Drosophila melanogaster: one gene and its partner. The protein of the gene in region 2 interacts with the protein of the main gene of each other region in a pairwise test. Each region holds a gene or a part of one and is shown on either strand. Other genes may lie near its edges.

Region 1 (4,520 bases), 9.0 Mb from region 2:
GCACGCAATCCAATCCCCCTGGAGAATCCGCTACATGCACCTCCTGCCACCGTGCTCCGCGGCTCCACTGGCTACGACATCATCAGCGACAGCGCCACCGAATGTTGTCTGTTGCGGCACTTTTGGCCACATGTATTTGCATAAAAAGTGAACAACCAGCGGAATGGTCGTAAATTCAGCTGGAAAGTAGTGAACGAAAAAGCGCAACCGCGCACGATGGGCTGGAAAAGATAAATGGGCAAAATACCTTATGAAATATGGAGGTATTGCAATGTCACATATAATAAGAAAATATAATTTAGATATATAATTTATCATGATTTTTTAATCCAAAAATGATATACATAAATTAAATCTTATTTATTATAATATACAAGAACGAATTTATAATTTAAATTTGGGTATATTACCCAAACTTTTTTTTTTAAGTATATACATATATTAATCTTTGATTTAGCTTCTGTTATAACCTTGTACTCATTCAACTTGATTTACAAAAAATATGATGCAAAATCATAAGATCCTTTTCATTCAAATGGATTTTAAGGGTATATATGCATGAGCAAGTTCCTCTTACTGGTTCTTTATGTGTACAAAGTTAGTTAAAATACTTAAGGATTGGATGTGGAATATAACTAGATTTATTTTGCAGATATCCACAAGATATCCCATAGTGCTTTAGCCTGGGGATCCGCGAGGAAGCGTGGAAAAAACTGAATGTTTGCATGAATATACGTACTTATTTATTTTGTAGAGCACTAATAATTACACTAACACACTGCCTCCCGGGGAGCTTCGTGCTGATAGGGGAGTTGATGGGCGGCGGGCAGCCTTGTCCTTGTCAAATGTTTCGTTATCTGCCAACGCTGTTTTTGTTGTTGTTGTCAAGCGAACGCTTTCCTTCTTCACACACCAGCAAACACACACTCACATCCAGAGAAAGGCGAAAGCACGCCCATCGCCACCCACTCTGCCCCTTTTGATAGCGTCAACATCAACTAAAACTGTAAGCGACTTCAAACGGCGCTTTGTCAGTGACCTTCGCGTGCTGGTGCGATGGCATATGTTTTTCTTGCCACCCACACATTTGGGTGGCTAAATGGGTTGGAGCCAAGAGCTGGGAAACTTGATTTGACATATGATGTGCCCGTTTCGTTGGCGACTCCTTCCTTACCCCAATCTGGCCCAAATACATTTATCAATATCGCTTCTGGTCGATTGAAATACCAATAGGAGGCGGCAAGTCTTTTGGCAGCGTAAAGAAATCACCCATTGCCCACTACTAACCCACCCCCAATCGGTCATTAGCATTTTCGGCGTGTATTTATGGGCAGAAAATGTTGCGCCATAAACATGACAACAAAACAAAATGCGACAAATTTGCGACGATTGCGCCCATGTGGCACAGTGAGTTCCTCTATCCCCCAGGGCCAAATAATTGTCATCCAGAATAAAATATGTATGCACGAATATTGTTTGGCTTACGCTCAATTGGAGGCCGGAGGCATTGGCGAAAAACCAGGCTCATTCCGAAAAGTCAGCCAGCCCAATTGCAATGCAGAAACAATTGCATACTTGACGGGGCAAAGTTTATTTTTATGCGAGCGACACTCGGTGGGGGTATTGAGAAGTAGTTACAGTGGAGACTTGATAACGGGAACCAAAAGGAGAAGCACCATATTTGTGTAGAAAATGGATTGGGTATGTAAACTTTACAGTTATGTAGGAATAGGATTGTATGAGGGTGCCAAGTATCCGGCTTGAATGCTAACTATATTCCAAAGATCGCCGCTTAAAGTATGGCCAATATATGCGTGTAGGTCTTAGGAGACTTTCCCTGTACACACACTCAGCCTCATATCCACACGCACACGACTAGTGGAAACAAATCAACTCTGTTTTGGCGCCACGCGGCGTAGTTGCTCTGCACTTTGGCAGACCGACAAACGCGACCGCGACTCTCGGCCAGAAGCACGGCTGAGGCTAAGGCCAGAACAGAACAGAACGGAACAGAGCTGAGCTGGGCTGCCGGAGAGCCCGGCCAAAAGGCAAAGGCAGCCAGCCGGGCCAACTAGTTTTTCTTTGGCTCCTCCTTTTGGCTTTTATTGTACACGGTGGTTTGTTGTTTAGTGTGCCATTGGCGCTAACAACGTGCGGTTCGGTCTTGGGTTTTCTCGCCGCCCGTTGAATTCAGAGAGCGGAATAGATTCTAGCCCGATTTCGGGGTCTAAGCCCACAAACATAGGGGTGGAGTGAAAGTGCATTGCAGCCAGATCTGCAGATTAGACAAACTTGAGTTCCTTGAACTTCCCAAATATTATAGATATATTATACCTACGTGGTTTTCTCTGGTTTTGTGTAACCCATTTAGTTGGCTGCACTTTAAAGGCGATTACTATAAATATTAATAGGATTTATTGATTGACTGGCGGTGGGCCAGAGCCAGATCGACACGAGGCTTCGGACCCATGTCCTTTCTTTCGCCCACACTGCGCCTGGAGAATCTGTCCACGCAGCCCACGATGACGCAGGATCATGTGCCCGAGGACCAGCGCTATAACAAACAGAATATTGTGGCTCAATGGTGTGTGCCCATCAATGGCAAGGTACCTGCGATTATTTTTCAAAACCGCCACTTACATTTAATGGAAATTCGCGATAATTATCCGCCCATTCCCATTTTTATTTTTTGTAATTTTTATTTTTTTTGCGCAGATGTACCGCATCGAGCTGGAACATGGCACAACCAGTGGGCGGCGCATGATTTGGGTCAATGGACGGGTAAGTTTTTTAGCTCCCAGCGAGCTGAATGGGTGGTTGGTGGCTTTGGAGCTCGTAAAGTATTTGCATTGTGAAGGTAAACTTAATTACGGGTCGTGTACGTACGTAATCGTACTTCAGCAATGCAGAATGATATTTAAAAAGGTCTCATTTAGTTGATAAAAATATTTAATTAAATTCTTTGGGTCTTATTATTTCTAAACATATATGTATATACTTCTGTCATCCCTCACCGACATTTAGCATTTCAGTTTTTATGTTTAGTACACCGTTGGGTTTATTCTTTCTTACTAAAGTGCTTTAGTGCTTTAGAGTGCTTTTAAACTTTAAGTCCATATGAACTGTATAAATTAAATCGATACAAACAAACAAAATAGAAGATTTTACCAAAGACAACGGTGCGTATGAGTGATAAACTGGTAGAGCAAATGCAACAATTTAAAGGGCTATCAAAATGAACTATAAAGTTCATCCGCCTAATTTTCTTCTCCTAATCAAATTCCCAGGAAGTCCTGCGTCGCGACTGGATGTTCAAACTGGTTGGCGAAGACACCTTTCACATCGATCAGACGCGCTGCATCATACGCGTTGATCCTGCGCCGGGCTTCAAATACGAGTACTCCCTCTACATCGACGGCAAATCGCACGACCAGTACACCGAGGACATGACACGGCAATATCGACTGTGGCTATATACGGATGATGCGGCCGCCGATGCGCCGCAGGAATATAGAATAATGCTCAAACTGGACACGCTGAGTCTCTACGTAAACGATGAGCTGCGCACCGAGGAGGTGAGGGAAATGGGCTATTGCCACCTACACACACACACACACACACCATACTCACACACTTTATTACCCCCATATCGCAGTCGGTTTTTGTTCACGGCGGCACAGACACCAAGTTCCTGCTGCAGGACACGGAATTCGTGCTTCAGGCACGCTCAAGTGGCAATAAACATGATGGCATCGTTCACACTCTGCTGGCGAATGGGGTGGCAGTTCCGGAGGCGAAGATTCAGGAGATTATGCAAGAGCCGGTCTCCATTTTGCAGAGCAGCAACTGAGGGGCAATGGAAGGCTCCTCCATACGATACGATAGGATAACGTTTTGCATTTGTTGAATTTGTGCCCAGTTGTTAATAAACGTTTTTCGAAAGTTCTTTTCAATTTGATTAAAACATAAACTTTGTCTTATACAATACTTTATTCGTTTTTCTTTATATGCATAATTGTAACGCAACTATCGTTTACGTTTTCAATTTCATTTTGCTAGCATCTGGTAGTATATGCCAAAAGTGCATCCAGTTTAAAAAATTAGTCGGAAACATCAGTTGAAGAAGATACAAATTGATGTTATACGCTCAGTAAAATCATTATATACTAATTAAACTTACTCATAGAACTTGGTTATCAAACACAACAACATAATAATTGGGATAGGCTAAAGAATATTGGTTGTTACTAATAAAATCGGTAACGTTTAAGTGCAATTTGAAATTGTTTTTCAGTTTGTCCTGTTTGTTTTGCATTTAAATTGATTGCTTGCTATGTTCTTTAATCAAAAACTTTGATCAATATTACTTTCTTAGATTGCGTTGTATTTGGAAATTTAACAATATGCGCTTAATTTGTTCTCTTTTATTTGCTTTTCATACATTAACAAGTAACATTTTTGCTGAAATTTATCTTTAGCTTCAATTAAAAACACAATATTTTATTTACCTTCGCAACACA
Region 2 (6,227 bases):
TATACCTTCATTGCAGCTGTGCTGCTGCTCACGAGGTAACTAACCACCCAGTGACTATGACATATATATATATGATATGCTAAGACCATCTCCTCTTAGGATCATCGAGGGCACCTCAAACTATGGCACCTGTGAGATAATTCTGTTGACCTGTGGCGTTCTGTTCTTCACCATAGAGGGTAATATGGCTCCTGGGATGCAGTAATGTCAGAGTGATGAACTCTCTCCTCCAGGACTACTGATATTCTTCACGGTGGAGCAGCTGTCCGAAGATCTGCTGATATTTGCCTATGCATTGGGAGCACTTTGCTTCATCTGCGCCGCTCTGTTCGCCCTGGACCTGATGTTCTTCAAGAACCTGCTGAAGCTGAGGGACTCCACCGTCCAAACAGACCAGTCGAAGGAAACAGTGGCCCTCAAGGTGTACAATCTTTCGCAGGAACCGAAGATGAGCTGCTGCAACATGATGCCCCGCACTCACATCGTGAACGAAAGCAGCAGGAACTATCTACGCACCGACTTGTAGACCCAAGTGAAAGAGCTCGAGATACATATGTATCTGCATCTGCGTTACCTTTATTGCCGTAACATCGAATGTAGTGAAACAAAATATGCATTATAAGATCGTGCTGCTGAAACAACTAATTGGACTCGTATGTTAATAAAGTTTTCGACATTAATCAACGCTAGAAGCGGCCGCCAACTAATACGCGTACACAAAACGGAATGCAGTGCCAACAGTGTAGACTACGATAGCAAAACCCCCGGGCTCCTCTCAGAACAGCAGGAAGGACACCCTCGTCCTTCGCGCATCCCCCTTGGCTCGGCGAGCCATCCCGTAATGTCAGGGAATGTCGCTGCTGCTCGTCGTCCCCTTGGAATCGCACATGCCGCCGGCCATGTTCTCGTTCGACCGCTCCGAGGTGAGTCCTCCGGTTATGCCAGTTAAATTTAGTTTGTACTGCAAGGCGGAGCAAGGGGATTAGGATTAGGATGGAGTTCGTAGAGGAGCTGGCACTGCAGCTTATGAGTGGCCAAAACCAATTGTTGGTTAAAGGTCACAGTTGGGTTAGATAAACACACGATGGGGGATCTTATCAAGCTATCAACTCAACTCAACTCAAAACTCAATACATCAAGATACATATGTACATACATGCGTGAAATACAAAAGTTAGCGATTAAGATTAAGATACAGCGCCATCTACATTAGCAAAGTCGAAAGTAAGAGATGTAACTAATAAGATTGAGAGTTTAGAAACGGGGATTGAAGCACATCCTCAAAAACCAAAAGGCTTCTCCTGCGCCCCTGGCAACAAACGAAAGCTCTAAAATCATACCTGTAATAATGCATGCTTTAATATCACAGTAAACTATAGAAATCATACACATTGAGAAAGTCTGTAGTATCATCCACTACATATAGGAAATGGCCGCGTGGGCCTGCCTCGGCCTATTTACCTTAGTTGCGCACTCAAAGCACTTCGACACTACTTTGTTTATAACGTTCATAAGGTTCTTGGTTTCCCTGATGACGTGATCGACCTTCACGAAGGTGGCGGCTTTACCAACCGTGTGGTCTTTGACTGTAAACTGGAGTGCTTGGACAAAAGTCGGCACTCTATCTAAAATGTTGAGGAGATCCTTTTTGTTGTCACTGGCGGGAACCTAAACAAGCGCAGAGTTAGCGACACGGATGCCCATTATCAACCGATAATTACCTGGTATGAAAAGTGGCGGAGGACTTTGTAAAGTCGATTGGCCTCCTCCGCAAAATATTCGGCTTGAGTAAACAAATCCTGAGTTGTTCTTAGAGAACCGTTGCCCTTGGTAAACTGATACATTAGGAAAGCCATCGCGGACATGTTCTTGGCTCTCTTCAGTATGTCGTTGTCGTCCGACAAGTCTTCGCTCCATTTTGATTGATATGTGTTCAGATCTCCGTTGTTCTTGCCTTCGAGGCCAGAATACTCAACCATTTCTCCGTCTTCTGTTGCAGGTACACCGGATTTTGTTAGTTTGTCTGAGGAGCTTTCGCATTTCTGGGGAAGATCGGAAGTAAGTTAGTGATTACCTCGCCCACTCTGGGCAGCAACCCACCTCAGCATCAGCATCTCTGTCACCCTTGGTGGTGTTGATCGAGACGAGGATCTTCTTGGCGATCATGGAGATCTCGTTCGTCAGCCACTTCCACATGTCCGAGAAGGACTCGAAGTTCTCGTTGGCCGCACTGCTGTTGGAGTACTTCCACAGGATTTTGGCCGCGATGAAGACCTGCGGCCCGTAGATCCGCAGGTTGATCGCCAGGCACTTGGCCTGCACCTGCAGCCGCTCCGTGGGCGCAATGTGCTGCAGCAGCTTGCAGATGTCGAAGATGTGATCGCAGCAGTCGTGGAACTTCGAGGAGCGCTGGTTCAGATTGTCGATGTCGTAGTTCGTTGCCAGTACGTGGAACGACTTGACCAGCTTGGAGCAGATCTTGAGCGACTCGTTGAAATCCTCGATCTGGCTGGACACGGAGACGACCAACTGCTTGCACAGCTCCTCCAGGCTGCTCAGCATACCCAGTTCGGGATCTGACCGACCCTTCACCTGGCCTCCGCCCACTCCTCCAACTCCACCGGCTCCACCGCCACCCTCGTGCTGATCCTTCATGATGGTGTTCAGGTAGAGGTCGAACTCCAGCTTGCAGTTGTCGCAGTAGGAGAGGATGTTCTTCCGATGGTTGTGGCTGATGTAGGGGGAGTCGGTGAAGTCGTGTGCCTTCTCGAACAGCTTCTCGAAGGCGAGCGAGAGCTCCTCGCGCAGGTCCAGGCTCTCGGAGCTGAGGTGCTTCCTGAAGTTCGTGTTGTTCACCATGCGGCCGCCGCCCGCCGCGGAGGGCAGGTTCTTCTCCGACTTCCACAGGTCATCGTCCAGGAAACTGAAGTAGGCGTCGGAGTTGTTGTTGCCCTCGCCAGAGCCCTCGTAGTAGCTCATCTGGTACTTGTACCGCTTGATGAGGTTCACAATGCGCTTTATTGTCGTGTAGATGCTCTCGTTCTCGTAGTTCGGGTTGCTCGCCTGCTTCTCGAACGGCATGTGCTTGGCCGTGTCGAAGATGCTGTCCTTCACCACGAAATGGATGAGGTCCATGGCCCTGCGGATCTGGCAGAACACAGTGTCCCGGTTCTCCTTCACGATCACGCAGTCGCTGTGGATCAGGCTGTTCTTCGAGGACGTCAACAGGATGGCGATGGACTTCTCCAGTATCTGGCGGGCCGAGAACATCTGCGCCCGCCGTCGCTCCTCCTTGAAGGAGTTGCGGTGGTGGCCCGTGAGGTAGGCCAGCTCAATCATCTCGGTTCCGAACACGGAGAAGGCGCGCACGAATTCCGTGAAGTTCATGACCGACTCCAGCTTCTCCAGGCTCTCGGAGGCCCGCTTCTTGGCGGTCAGCAGCTTCTTCACAACTATGATGTCGACCAGCAGTAGGATGCGCGTGACGGACGACAGCAGGGAGCGGGCCGCCAAAATGATGGCTCCATAGTCCTTAAGGGGCTCGATGTGGTGGCGCAGCTCCATGCCGCTTAGAGGTGAAATATCACAAAGTCGTTCAATCGATTTTCCTATCGTACAACAAAATACAATGAAAAGGATGTACCAGGCTGGAAAGGATGTCTTCTTACCCGCATCTCTGGCCTCCTTCGCCGCCTCGTACATGTCTCCCTTGATGTCAATATTCTCCTCGGCGATGATCTCGCCAATGGTTATAAATCGCTCCACGGCAATGTTCAGCAGGTGACCTATGTTCCCAAAAGTGGACATGATCTGCTCGTTATCCATATCACGAACTCGAAAGCGTTGATTCTGGAGAGGGGAAGGAGAGCCCACATTGGCAGTTGGTTGGGTTTCAAGGCCAATCAATAATCGCTGAGGACTAGAACGGAAAGTTATCCCGGACAGCCGGTTGGGTACTTACGTTAACAGTTGATTGAGTGATTCCGTACATTTTGGATAGCTCGGTTACCGATAGAAAAATTGATTATACGTAGTTTAAGAGTATCCGCAAAGCGAGTTTCAGGCATGCAGCATTTTTATTTACTTCCTATTGATTTTTCTCAATACTAGGGCTAGCAGAGTCGAGTAGACATTGCAACTAAGTCGAGAATTTGGCACTCAATAATACGGTCACCGATTAGCGCGTCATAGTACGAGGCTCTATGGGTTTAAGCTCAAATAAAAGTCGATTTTTCAGCCAGCGAAAGCTCCTCAGCTCAAATTAGTGTTATATAGCTGGGTGGCTGTAAACAACGTGTTTACCTGCAGACAGATATATGTGTATGCCCCCAGATTTGTGTGTGATTCGAGCTTGTAACAAATTGGTCTGCGCAGCAAGTCTGCGCACAAAACCATTTAGTACTGTAAAGTGCAACAGTTTCTCGTCAAACGCCTCCTGTGGGATTCGATGCGGATGCGAGTGCCTGGATTCGATGCTTGTTGAGGTACCAAACATTTATCAGAAGAACAACCAAGAAAACCGCATAAGGCAACTCCAAAACCATGTACTTACATAAATGAAAAGTGTTTGAGATTATTGCACTTCAAAAAAGAGACAACATATTTCATGTAATAAGCTTGAAACACTAAATTCAAACCAAATAAGTTATATTTTCCATTTTCATGACTTCCGGTTGCGGAAGTTAATTTGTGAAACTAATCCGGCATGACAACCCTGGACAACGGGAGTTCCCCTAACATCCACACTGGCACTCGCAGCTATTGGGACATTACACACAGTCTGGCCACACTGCAGCCCAACGACCATATGATTTTTGCCGAGTATTTTATTTCCAAATGTTGTTACCTAAACACGAGCACGTCAAATTCCTGAGGGCCGCAAACGAAAAATAGCCAGGATCTAAGTTCAATTTGAATGGTGTGATCTGCAGACGAGGCAGATCTGAATCGAGGAAACCCAGTTCCGGTGAAGGAAGTAGCACACAAAGTCCTTGCAAGATGTTGCGAAATTTCGGGATTTCATCAATAAGAAGGAGCAGCTGGATGGCCAACTGGTGCTCCAAGGAGCGGGCGTGGGCGTCCGCCATGCGGCTAAGTGCGTCTGCGCCGGCGAAGTGTCCACAAAAGTTGTTAAACAGCCATGCCGCCAATAACCTCCAGCAAAGTCGAAGGGCCTACGAGAGCACCAAAGCGGAGAGGCTGCCCGGGAACCCTAAGGAGAACGAGCGTAAGCCCGAGGACCTGGATAGAGCCTACGAGGTTCTGAGGACCACGCTACCAAAGCTGTTCGTGGAGCCCCTAGACTACTCCATTTACAGCCCGGGCCTAATCTTCCACAACAACATAACGGGCAAGCACACGGTGGGCCTGTACCACTACGTCAAACAGATCGCCATCCTGCGAACGGTTGGCCACCTGAAGTACGCCTACGTGAAATTCGAGGTGCTCAAGATCACGAAGCACCAGGACGACTACACAGTGCGGATAAGGTGGCGAGTGCGCGGCATTTCCGGCCTGAAGGTCATGTTCCAGTTCTGGAAGTACAAGCTCTGGCAACTGAAGGAGGTGCTGAAGGATCAGGAGGCCTGGTACGACGGCTACTCTGTCTGCTATCTGGGCGACGATGGGCTGATCGTCAAGCACGTCGTGGACAAAGTGATGCCGGACGAGAGTCGGGAGGCGGTTGAGAACCCTTCTGCGACGGCACTACCTCCCGGATCCTTGGCAGCGACCTCTTCCCAGAAGATCAACTGCCAATGAAGTCGTAGCTAGCTAGCTTTAAATGTTACTTATTTATTGTATTACTAATCGTAATAAACGCAACTGTGAGAACGTTTAGTAACCGCATTGGCGCATTGTGTTGTACAACATTCGTTATTCAACTGTCACTGCTTGAACGCGTAGACCGATCCCTTCTTGATGTATTTGTAGGGGCGTGAGCGGCTCCGCTTGGCGAAGGCGCTTATGTAAGGCTTCTCCTTGTTGTACTCAATGGTGTTTTGCATGGATCCCTCGGTTTCGAGGAATATATCGAAGCTGTAGATGGTGCGGAAGAGCTGCGCGTACAGGATGCAGTCGTTGGGCTCCAAATGTTTGGGCTGCAGGGAGTTGGTCCAGAACTCCATCATCTGAGGAATACAAGTTTAAAAGCTAATTGGAGGATAATACCTGAATAAGTTCAAACCTTGATCGCCGAATTGTTTTGCGCGGTAAGGCATCCGTTCCAG

Evidence for each region. Proteins that work in one complex are often made in the same cells at the same time.
Region 1: the proteins of alpha-Catr (region 2) and CG10257 interact in a two-hybrid assay, tested with the Drosophila melanogaster proteins (one large-scale study listed by BioGRID).

The regions. Positions count from the first base shown.
Region 1 is NT_033778.4:14,940,484-14,945,003, forward strand, and holds CG10257 (uncharacterized protein), read left to right. Parts: upstream 1-1,914; 5' UTR 1,915-2,468; coding exon 2,469-2,606; intron 2,607-2,715; coding exon 2,716-2,781; intron 2,782-3,287; coding exon 3,288-3,575; intron 3,576-3,655; coding exon 3,656-3,850; 3' UTR 3,851-3,986; downstream 3,987-4,520.
Region 2 is NT_033778.4:23,955,954-23,962,180, reverse strand, and holds alpha-Catr (alpha-catenin related), read right to left. Parts: upstream 4,340-6,227; 5' UTR 3,992-4,339; coding exon 3,962-3,991; intron 3,850-3,961; coding exon 3,669-3,849; intron 3,609-3,668; coding exon 2,101-3,608; intron 2,043-2,100; coding exon 1,722-2,042; intron 1,669-1,721; coding exon 1,462-1,668; intron 962-1,461; coding exon 845-961; coding exon of another isoform or gene 776-844; 3' UTR 550-775; downstream 1-549. Other genes in the region: CG13566 (uncharacterized protein), read left to right, coding at 1-35, 100-179, 234-526; CG16787 (uncharacterized protein), read left to right, coding at 4,999-5,760; thoc5, read right to left, coding at 5,886-6,128, 6,185-6,227.